Linked DNA regions of Saccharomyces cerevisiae S288C. The protein of the gene in region 1 purifies or fractionates together with the protein of each later gene. This does not show direct contact. Each region holds a gene or a part of one and is shown on either strand. Other genes may lie near its edges.

What was found. The genes of interacting proteins can lie anywhere in the genome.
Region 2: the proteins of SPT5 (region 1) and PSY4 purify together in Saccharomyces cerevisiae (affinity purification with mass spectrometry; 5 studies listed by BioGRID). This does not show direct contact.
Region 3: the proteins of SPT5 (region 1) and RPB4 purify together in Saccharomyces cerevisiae (affinity purification with mass spectrometry; 5 studies listed by BioGRID, with this or other methods). This does not show direct contact.

The regions. Positions count from the first base shown.
Region 1 is NC_001145.3:246,138-251,368, reverse strand, and holds SPT5 (transcription elongation factor SPT5), read right to left. Parts: upstream 3,693-5,231; coding exon 501-3,692; downstream 1-500. Other genes in the region: mitochondrial 54S ribosomal protein bL33m MRPL39, read left to right, coding at 1-65; RAD33 (Rad33p), read left to right, coding at 3,941-4,474; ERV25 (Erv25p), read right to left, coding at 4,618-5,231. UniProt on the Saccharomyces cerevisiae protein: The SPT4-SPT5 complex mediates both activation and inhibition of transcription elongation, and plays a role in pre-mRNA processing.
Region 2 is NC_001134.8:130,678-134,338, reverse strand, and holds PSY4 (Psy4p), read right to left. Parts: upstream 1,916-3,661; coding exon 590-1,915; downstream 1-589. Other genes in the region: ubiquinol--cytochrome-c reductase subunit COR1, read left to right, coding at 1-196; EDE1 (Ede1p), read left to right, coding at 2,299-3,661. UniProt on the Saccharomyces cerevisiae protein: Regulatory subunit of the histone H2A phosphatase complex, which dephosphorylates H2AS128ph (gamma-H2A) that has been displaced from sites of DNA lesions in the double-stranded DNA break repair process.
Region 3 is NC_001142.9:149,414-152,215, forward strand, and holds RPB4 (DNA-directed RNA polymerase II subunit RPB4), read left to right. Parts: upstream 1-1,547; coding exon 1,548-2,213; downstream 2,214-2,802. Other genes in the region: serine/threonine protein kinase YAK1, read right to left, coding at 1-977; mannosyltransferase YUR1, read right to left, coding at 2,300-2,802. UniProt on the Saccharomyces cerevisiae protein: DNA-dependent RNA polymerase catalyzes the transcription of DNA into RNA using the four ribonucleoside triphosphates as substrates. Component of RNA polymerase II which synthesizes mRNA precursors and many functional non-coding RNAs.

The DNA of each region.
Region 1 (5,231 bases):
AAGAAGCAAAGAAAAGGAAAGTGGCAGAAAGAAAGCCATTGGATTTCTTGCGTACAGCCAAGTGAAGAAATATGAATAAGCACGAGCCCCGGCATGTAAGCCCATCGAATACGCAGACGTTACGCATTTTTTTTCATTTATCCTGTAAATAAGTAATGGATACATACATTTTGTATACGATTCAAACGGAAAGAAATTCCGCTAACGAAAAAGAAGTTATATAAAATTACATTACAATAATCAACTCCCTCATAATAAAGTTGATATTTCATTTAGATATGCAAAAACACATATGCATACATACATACATACGTATATGTAAAAGTTAGAATCAAGGAAAACTCGTGACATACAAATGCAAGCATAAATGAAAAAAAAAGATCGAGATTCAGTATTTCATCGAAACATCGAAATCTTCATAACTATTCTTATTAACGTGGTAATATTAAAGTCTTTTTTATTGATTTCTTCTTGGGTGATATTGGTTCTCCTTTTGGTGATTAATGACCTCCCCATGTACTGTTACCACCATAGTTTGACTTATTTCCTTGGTTGTTCCAAGCAGACCTATTTCCATCGTCTTGGTTACCCCATGCAGAAGCTCCGCCATCTCTTGTACTTTTATTATTGTTATTTCCTCCCCAGGTGGAAGCCCCGCCGTAGGCTGACCTATCACCGGTACCACCCCAAGTAGACATGGCACCATTAGATTCACCACCCGACGCCCAAGTGGATGCACCGCCCCAACTTGATTTGTTACCCCAGGCTGAAGCACCACCCCAAGTAGAAGTAGCACCAGTACCTTGGCCGCCCCAAGCTGAGGCACCGCCGCCAGCACCGCCCCAAGCGGATGCACCTCCATTACCTTGGCCACCCCAAGTGGAAGCACCACCCCATGAGGAGACACCGCCACCACCTGAGCCTCCATGCGCATTTACAGCTGGTGTTTTGCCACCATCGAAGGAGCTCCATCCTGGTGTCATACCACCGCTAAGACCAGAAGAGGTAGCCGCAGCACCTGCTGCAATACCGCCAGTGGCCATGTTTCTTGGGGCACTGACGTAACTTGGGCCCATTCTGGCCTGTGGAACTCTACCACGTCTATTAACCAATTCATCATACGTGATACCTTCACCTCCCTCACGGTTGTAATATGTTAACTTATGCTTGTCAATTGTAATGTGTTTGTTCTTCGAGTGTAATTCGACAGTAGCTTTATCACCATTCACATCTTTCACAATACCTAATTGACCCTTGTAACCAGCAGAACGAATTCTTACTGTTTTGCCGAGTGCAACTTCACGACCTCCTCTGGACTGGATGGGTTGTTGGAATGTCTTAGATGATGGAGGTCCCATTTTAGAAATGATTTCTGGATTCATTTTACTTAGATCCATTTTGTTACTTAACATATTGTCCTTGGATGCCACGGCCTCAACGTTACTAGGGTTAACAACAAAAACCCCTGCATTTTCAACAATCTTCTTTGAAACAACAAAAATTTGTTGTGTTTGTATGTACAGGACCTGACCTTCTCTGCGTGAACCTACTTTCTCTACTATGGTATCACCAATTTTGATTTCATTACCATTTGCATCGACACTAGAAACGCGTGCACGAGCAGTATTTATTTTACTCAAGATAGACCCCTTCGTAATTGTCGACACTTTACCAGTTTCATCAATAACCTTGAAGATATCGTGGCCAGCTTGAATAATACAAGCAACATTTTTAGCACTCAATTCGACTATGTCATGTAGCGCATATTCACTTGATGTAGCTGTAGTGTCGATGGATTTGGACAGATTATTTGCTGTAATGGTAACTTCTCTGCTTGTTTGAGTTGACATAAATGTCACTTGACCTTGCTCTACCATAAGAACTAAACCAGCATCACCTTGATGTTCACCATTGATGACAGTAACGTGATCACCAGGTTCGAAAATTTTCCTCAGAGTAGAGATAGGAAATTCTAGAGGCGTTGTAAAGCCATTTAGTTTGATAGTAGCAATATCTTTCGTGGTTCTTGTTACAATACCCTTGGAACCACGTTGTTCACCATTTAGAACTTCGATACGATCACCTGGCTGGAAAGTGACCTTTGCAGCTTGAGCCTTCTTGATTGATTGTGAAACTGATGTTAGATCTACCGCGCCCTCTTTGGAACCGAATCTTGCCAATTCCTCCACAGTTGGCTGAATATTTTTGGTTTCCACATGTTGAATTCTGAAGGACTTATACAGATAACCATCGATATAATCTTCATTCTTATAAGTAAAGTGGCGATCATCCCTTTTGTACAGGTTAGCTTGGTCTAATCTTAGAGCCATTGTTGGATTAAATAATTGCGGTGGTGCTCTATGAGCAAAAGTTGGTCTTCTGGATTTACGTTGCTGTGTTGTTGGATCAATTTCGTCGAATTTACCATAATCCAGACGAGGAACAATTTTCAGCATAACTTCTAAATTATTCTCACTAATTTGGTCGACCATAGCTAAGTCACCCTTATAGATCCCTCTCTTAATACGAACGTAGCTACCTTCTTCCAAAGCAACATCATCAGATTTGTTTGGTTTTAGTAATAGAGGTAATTCTTGGACAGGAATTAGCAATTTTTGAGAAATATAAATATCTGGAACACCATTACAAAATTTTTCAATAACGGATTGCTTAGGGGCTTCGATATAGATTCTTCCTGTGTAATTATCCCTTTGGAAAATGGATAAAATTTTCAGTTTTTTCTTACCCATCGCCCTATCCAAATTGAATTTTTTTTTTAATAACTTACGAATCAATTCCTTTTCTTTACCTGGTCTGCAGCGCACACCCCAAATGGTAGCTGTATCAACACTTGGTAGGAGAAACCTCTGGGGCACGTAACCATCTTGAGCAGCAGCACGGTATTGCTTGGAGCTGCTTCTACCGTAACGCTCCCTTAATTCTTTCGCTAACCTTTGAGCGTCTTCTTCTGAAGTCTTGTTCAAATCTTGGTCCAGTTGTCTATGTAATCTATCGTCTCTTCTTGCGCCTGGAGCACTTGCTTCGTCATCTTCATCATCACCATGGGTAATGAAACCTTCACGAACCAACTCTGAATCCTCTTCATCTTCATCTTCATCTTCATCATCACTAACCTCAGCTTCAATATCCAAGAATCTGTTCCTCTCCTGACGACGCCTTTTAGTTGGGGCTTCATCGTCATCGTCCTCATCATCATCATCGTCATCGTCGTCTTCATCATCGTCTTCATCTTTGTTATCGCCCTCATCTTTGGTATCACCATCACTGTTTTTGGTGTCCTCTTCGCGAGGTCTCTTCCTTTCATCAGAGCCCTCTTCCTTCTTGACAATTTCATTTGCTTCGGATGAATCCGTATTCAAAGTTGCTTGGGCATCATCTGTAGCAGGCCCGTTACTAGATGAAACCTGCTCTGTGGCCGCCGTTTCTGCATTATCCTCAGGTTGCTGTGGCTCAGATTTTGCTTCTTTTTCTTCCCCATCTAAAGGGGGAATATTGCTTGTACTTTCTGCACGTTCTGTACTTTCCGTTGTGGTCACATTGCCACTATCAACAGTATCTTTGTCACTAGTATTTTCATCTTTAGTGTCAGTTGACTGCGGAACCACTACGGGATCAGCAAATTGTTGATCATGGTCCTGCATGCTCACGTTTGTGTCCGAGTTGTCACTCATAATTATCACAACACCCGTTCCTCTTTCCTTCTGCTGTTACCTACTTGTATGAATGGTTCTTGTCAATGCTACCAATCTTTGAACATGTTCATCCAAATTTTTTTCTATGTCGCATATCAGGCGGGTCACCTTTAGAAGGAACAAGTATGAAATATACTATCATATATATATATAATAACAATTACGCATGCAGGTGTCAGCATTAAGAAGCCGCAAGGTCACCTAAATACCTTCCGAGTTTTTTTTCAATGAGCAAATCCACTAACGTTAGTTATGAAAGAGTAGAGCTATTCGAGAACCCGAAAGTACCTATCGAAGTTGAAGATGAAATTCTGGAAAAATATGCGGAATCCAGTCTGGACCATGATATGACCGTTAATGAACTACCAAGGTTCTTCAAGGATTTGCAACTAGAGCCCACAATTTGGAAACTGGTGAGAAATGAAGACGTCATTATAGAAGGAACTGACGTAATAGATTTCACGAAACTGGTACGATGCACATGCCAGTTACTGATACTGATGAATAATTTAACAGTAATAGATGATTTATGGTCGATGCTTATTAGAAACTGTGGCAGAGACGTGGATTTCCCGCAAGTGGCCTTAAGAGATCATGTATTAAGCGTAAAAGACCTTCAAAAAATCTCCAATCTCATCGGGGCTGACCAAAGTTCTGGGACCATTGAAATGATTAGTTGTGCTACTGATGGCAAGAGGCTTTTCATGACATACTTGGACTTTGGTTGCGTATTGGGAAAACTAGGTTACTTAAAGATGTGAAGCGAACAAATCCATATTCAAATATTTTTTCTCCTTTATTCGGTTCTGGAATCTATTCATATATATGTAGAAAATAGTCGAGTACATATGCAATTATAGGGTAAGCTGATACACAAATGCATGGTGTGGTCCTCTTCCTTTGCTTAAATGATATGTTTCGTTTTGAAGTAGTTCTTCAAATAGTTGACTTGCCAAACACCCAGCGAGGACAAGACAATAATAACCAAAATTGAGAAATTTCTTACCCTTCTGTTGGTAGATTCATTGGTGTCTCTTAATCTCTCCTCTCTGTTTTTCAAGTAAGTCAATTCGTCGACAATTTCGTCGGTAATTTCCTCCACTCTACGCAACTCCACTTCTATAGGTTTCAATTTTTCGTTGGCACTGATCTTGTTCCAGTCACGAGCTTCAGCACCACTCTCAATGTCCAATTCAATGGCCCTGCTTAAAGAACGGCCACGATACTGAGCCTGATTTTCAAAACAAACGTCGAATGCCGTGGAGGATGGAGCAGTAAACGCAACACGAACGTCGCCTGCAAAGTCCCTCTTTCTACGATACTCGTTTCCAACTGAATCACGCACGAAGAGGTTTAGTTTCTGTCCATCACCAACAGAACCATCTGAGTGAATATCCGCGACAACCAATTGACCTTCAGTGACAAAATCACGAATACAAACCTGTTCTGGATCTGTAGATGCTGCAATGTCGAAATGTAATCCCTGCACTGCCACCACCAAAGAGATCAAAGTTGTCA
Region 2 (3,661 bases), on another chromosome or scaffold:
AGTCCTAATCAAGGGCTCCAAACTGTCTCTGGGTGAGGCTTTCAAGAAAATTGATGCAATCACAGTCAAAGATGTTAAGGCTTGGGCCGGTAAGAGATTATGGGACCAAGATATTGCTATTGCTGGTACAGGCCAAATTGAAGGGTTATTAGATTACATGAGAATCAGAAGTGACATGTCCATGATGAGATGGTAAGATGTGTGATAATATATTTTCCATGCACATAAAATAGAAATAAGCAAGCTGCTAGATGTATACAGGCACGCTCGCACACTCACACCATAAATGAATTTTTTACATGTATTTTATATTCTAGTAACCCAAGTAGTCTTCATTATTTATTGGCAAGGTCACTGTTCCTTGCAAAAGTAGAAAATAAAAAAAGAAAAAAAAAGAAACTCGTAAGAAAACAAGATTAAATAAACGTCTTATTTTATATAAGTGTATATATATATATATATATATATGTGACCAAGATCCTGAAGAACTATCGATTTTAAAAATAAGAAAGATGAACTTTTTTTTGGTAAAACATATTTAATGATATTATGCAAATGGGAAGTTGTTGGTAGAGAAGTCATCTCTCGATCATCTGGACTTCTTGCCTAATGGACTGCTAATATTCTCACGGTAGGTAATACCAGCAATCGCAACCATCTTATCCTCTTGTGAAGAGCTCATCGATGGACTCACTAATTCGTCACCTGGTAACAGTCCTTCACTTCTACCCTCATGGTTTTCATGAGCATCCTCTTTCTCCTCCTCCTGGCTCGATGAGATCTCATTACTGCCGTCCATGGCATTGAGGAGCGAAGACGATGGCGACTCTATTATGGAGAACCTGCCCGTTGCGGTATGTTTATATTTCTTTGGCGTCGTGAGATCCATGTTTGTGAATGATGGTGATTCGTCATATTCAAAGTTATCTAAATCTGTGGGCTTCCTCTTCCTTGGAGTTTCATTTTTCTTGTCAAAATTTTGCACCTTGGTACTTTCGCCCGCCTGCCTATCTTCGTCATCATCTTCATCGTCATCTGTGCTGCCCATGTGATCATCATCCTCATCATCTTCATCTGCACCATCTTCACGATAATCGTCGTCGTTGTCATCGTCATCTTCATCATCGCTATTATTCTTCGTAACATCGCTCTGACAATTTTGTCCTTTATTATCGCTATTATCATCGTTTATCCCGCAATCATCCTCATAGTATTCTTCCACCATGAAATTTTCATCTTTCAGCAAAACATTACGCTTACTCTTATTCCCCATCTCCCTATCTTCATCACCATCAAAAAATCCTTCCTCTTCATCCTCGTCATCGTAGCCTAGGTTGACACTCATTATAGAGTCGATTTCTCTAATAAAGGGTGCCAACTCCCTAGTATTGTTTTCGGTCATCCACGGTATCTTCATTAGTGAGACATCTTCTTGATTCTTGATGAAGTTAATATCTTTCTCCTTATCGTCCTCTTGCTTCTCACCGTGTGTTTTATCAAAAACCTGCCAACTGCTAGTTACCATGCAACATTTTTCTAGCGCATTTACAAACTTCTCCAATTCATTGATCTTGTAATATTTGAAAGGATCATAACACAATTCGCATATCCGAAGTATTGTGAATGGAAATGTATGATTTTGTAAAAAATTATCATTCAGAAACTTACCCAGCCAATTTAATCTAGTAACGAGATTTCTCGCATCGTTCATTTCATTCTTAAGGTTTATAAATAGGTCAAACGGTATTGTTTCAGTGATATGCCGGATTAAATCAGGCAAAACTTGCTCGGGACCCGCCGTCACCAATCGCGTCTTGTCGCCCTGTTTCACCACATCGCTAAGTAATTCATAAAGGCTGATAGACTTGATACCCATCATATTATTATCCACATCATCCAACATCGTCGAGCTCATAGCTTTTTATTGTGCTTTGACAATCGATGAGAACACCAACAAAAAATGATAATAGGTATTGTTAGCTGTGTCAAAATACATGCTTTTGATCGCGAAATGAAAAACTACACAATCATTACCCGTCGGCGCTTCGGAGGGGGATTAGATTTCTCCTATAATCAAAATCTTCAACTATTACAAACCCCTTTTCAGAAGCACATTGAAAACAACACACAACAGAGCACTTTGTGATAGGCAATAGAGTGCTTTTAAATAGAGAATTACTGGTTCTCGCGAAATAATATAGCGCGTTGAAACTAATAAATAGATTCGTGAAGCTCTAGATCTATCTTTTTTCCTGTTTTTATCTGTGTGTTTTCAATAGGATTCGAACGATATAGGCCATGGCATCTATTACTTTTAGAACTCCATTATCCTCTCAGGAACAAGCCTTTTATAATCAGAAATTTCACCAATTGGATACGGAAGATCTCGGGGTGGTCACTGGCGAGGCAGTCAGACCGCTCTTCGCGTCTTCTGGTCTTCCAGGGCAATTACTATCGCAAGTGTGGGCTACCGTCGATATAGACAATAAAGGGTTTTTGAACTTGAACGAGTTTTCGGCTGCTTTGAGAATGATCGCTCAATTGCAAAATGCTCCCAACCAACCAATTTCCGCTGCCCTATATGAGAGCACACCTACTCAACTGGCTTCTTTTTCTATAAATCAGAACCCAGCCCCTATGCAAAGCGGTAGTGCAACCGGCAATACAAACAACACTGATATTCCTGCCTTATCCTCAAATGATATTGCTAAATTTTCACAACTGTTTGATAGGACAGCAAAGGGTGCTCAAACTGTTGCTGGTGATAAAGCCAAGGATATATTTTTAAAGGCAAGATTACCAAATCAAACTTTAGGTGAAATTTGGGCTCTTTGTGATAGAGACGCATCCGGTGTCTTAGACAAATCTGAGTTTATAATGGCCATGTATTTGATCCAACTATGTATGTCTCATCATCCTAGTATGAACACACCACCGGCCGTGTTGCCTACTCAGCTGTGGGATTCTATTCGTTTAGAACCTGTTGTTGTTAATCAACCAAACAGGACTACTCCTTTGAGTGCTAACTCCACTGGCGTATCTTCACTAACAAGACACTCTACTATATCACGTCTATCTACTGGTGCATTCAGTAATGCTGCTTCAGATTGGTCTTTAAGTTTTGAAAAAAAACAACAGTTTGATGCAATTTTTGATTCATTAGATAAGCAACATGCTGGTTCGCTAAGCTCTGCTGTGTTGGTTCCATTCTTCTTATCCTCTAGATTAAACCAAGAGACGTTAGCCACCATCTGGGACTTAGCTGACATCCACAACAATGCTGAATTCACCAAATTGGAATTTGCTATTGCCATGTTCTTAATTCAAAAAAAGAATGCTGGTGTCGAATTACCGGATGTTATCCCCAATGAATTATTACAGTCCCCCGCTTTAGGACTTTATCCGCCAAACCCACTTCCTCAACAACAAAGTGCACCTCAAATTGCCATCCCCTCAAGAGCAAGTAAGCCTTCTTTACAGGATATGCCACACCAAGTTTCTGCCCCAGCAGTTAATACTCAACCAACAGTTCCACAAGTTCTTCCTCAAAACTCAAATAACGGTTCTTTGAATGATTTACTGGCTTTGAACCCTTCATTCAGCTCTCCTTCTCCCACTAAAGCACAAACTGTGGTTCAAAACAACACAAATAATAGTTTTT
Region 3 (2,802 bases), on another chromosome or scaffold:
GTTTGGTAGGTAAATTCTGGAGAACATAAAGAATATGTGGTAATCAGGCTTTTCGTGACACTGACTAGGGGAGATATCGTCTTGGAATTGAGCGACGCACGTCTAAACTTTGGAGTAGCATTTAAGACAGGTTGAAGATCGTTTTTAGAGTTGCAAAGTTGCATCTGAGGAATGGACAATTTCTGACCTTGTACTTCATCTCTTCGTAACTGCTTGAAAGGGGGTTGTAGTGGGGGACTTGTACTAGGAGGATATGCGCTAAGCCTCCTGTAAGGTGACATGACTGGTATGGAGTTTGTTCCTTGATTAGTATTTGAATTTAGGGAAGAAAAATTGGACGAATAATTAGTTGCAGCCAGACTCTGCCTTCTTTGGAAATCTTGACGATCATAAAGGGAGGGAACAAATCTGGATCCAAATTGGGAAGGATGGATAGCGCCCTGCTGGTATACTTGCTGTTGTTGTTGTTGATAGCCAGAAGGATACTGGCCACTGCTATTTCCTGCCAAACTCGTATTAGAGCTGGTGTAAGCGGGATAACTATCGTACTGGAAAGGATTTGGGGCAGGTGCCCTGGCTGGAGGTACAACGAGACTAGATTTACGTCGTCTGTACGCATCTAGACTTTCGTTACTGTTTAAGTCATCGTATTGAGGGGGATACACCAGGTTTTGTTGAGAATTAGTTACTTTTTCCTCATTCCAAGGGTTAACAAAGCAAAATTGAGAATTCTGTTGTTGTTGTTGTTGCTGCTGCTGCTGCTGCTGGTGATGATTCTGATGCTGCTGCTGTGGAGACCTTTGAGAGCCTTGATTTACGTACGATGGATTCCATATACCTCTCCCCATATGGCTATTGTCTGGGCTTGCTCTACCCGAGCCCATACTAGCATCACTGTGGGTCACAAGGGTCGGGCTCAAGGAGTTATTCATGTTGCTATTGGAGCTGGACGAGTCGTTATTATTGGATGAGTTCATGATTGCTCAAATTAGCATGTGAAAAAAAGATAACGAAATTATGTTCCCTTGCACAATGGCTGTTGCTCTTCACCAAAATTCTTCTTTCGATATATTCCCAAATCTAATAGTGAGAAATTTGTGTAATACCCCCAGTAATGGCCCACCAATTGTTTCCTTATATCTGTTTAGCATTGCGACTCATTCATTGTTCAGCCCAGAAGGGGTAAATCTGAGGAGGGGGCATTGCTTGCAATGGTTCAGAAGGGGCGGTTAGGGTTAATAAAGCCATCGCGCTATTTTGATATTTTTATTAGGCCTTTTATATTTTTTTTAGTTTTTTTCTCCAAATCCTAAATCCTTTTTAGGTGTCATTTACGTGCAACGCGACAATAGTGATATTGTCATTCTTCAAACTTTTTGCAAGGTAGCTATTAAACATACCTACACACATACGTACATGCTTAACGGTGAGACAAAAGTAAAGAAAGAGACTTGAATGGGTTGCTGCATCTTAATAAGTTGAGTTTGAGGGCGAAAGTACACAAATATTCATCCGTATTGAAAATATATATATAAGAATATAGAAAAATGAATGTTTCTACATCAACCTTTCAAACAAGACGGAGAAGATTGAAGAAAGTGGAGGAAGAAGAAAATGCAGCTACTCTACAACTGGGCCAGGAATTCCAGCTGAAACAGATAAATCATCAGGGTGAAGAGGAGGAATTGATTGCCTTGAACCTAAGTGAAGCCAGGTTAGTAATCAAAGAAGCTCTTGTAGAACGTAGGAGAGCATTTAAAAGATCGCAAAAAAAACACAAGAAGAAGCATTTGAAGCACGAAAACGCCAATGATGAAACTACGGCAGTAGAGGATGAAGATGATGATCTGGATGAAGATGACGTCAACGCTGATGATGATGATTTTATGCATTCTGAAACTAGGGAGAAGGAGTTGGAGTCTATCGACGTTCTGTTAGAACAGACAACGGGAGGAAATAATAAAGATTTGAAAAATACCATGCAGTATTTAACAAATTTCTCCCGATTTAGAGACCAAGAAACCGTCGGGGCAGTTATACAGCTTCTGAAAAGCACTGGGTTACATCCTTTTGAAGTGGCGCAACTAGGTTCTTTGGCCTGTGACACAGCTGATGAAGCAAAGACTTTAATTCCAAGCTTAAACAATAAAATATCAGACGATGAGTTGGAAAGGATACTAAAGGAATTGTCAAACCTAGAAACACTCTATTAATAACTGTATGTATACGTGTGTGTAACTAGTAATGAATTTTCACCCTGTGGAAGTTAGGCCTATTTAACAGGAAAAAGGACAGGATTTTAAATCTCGTCTTGCTCTTCTTTTAAGAAATATTTGCCGCTACCGTTTTTCCACCATCTCATCAAACAACTATGTGGGGTTATATCTATGACACTTTCATCATCGCTTTTGCATCTACACCTCTGATCGAGCCTAACAGCGTAAGATGCTGGACAGGTGCCAAACGGTGAGTGAAAATAGCCAAGTTCGTCAAAATGAATGATTTCGTCAGGTCTCAGCAGTAGGGAGACACCAATTGAATGTACAGGTGCGTCACCCCACCTTTCGTAGTAAAATCCGCCCTTGGCATCTAAAGTTTCAAAAAAATGCTTATATTCGTCACTTCTGAAGAAATTCAAGTCGCCAATCTCAAAATTCGACCAAAAATGGCACAAATTGTAGTCAGAGTTTGCTTCAACAACGGGATAATGCTTACCAACTAGCCCTGAATCGGTCAAAAATGCATAGGCACTGTCCTCTTTACGTAAAATGGTCTCTTCGCTGGCCACTAAATACTCCTCTA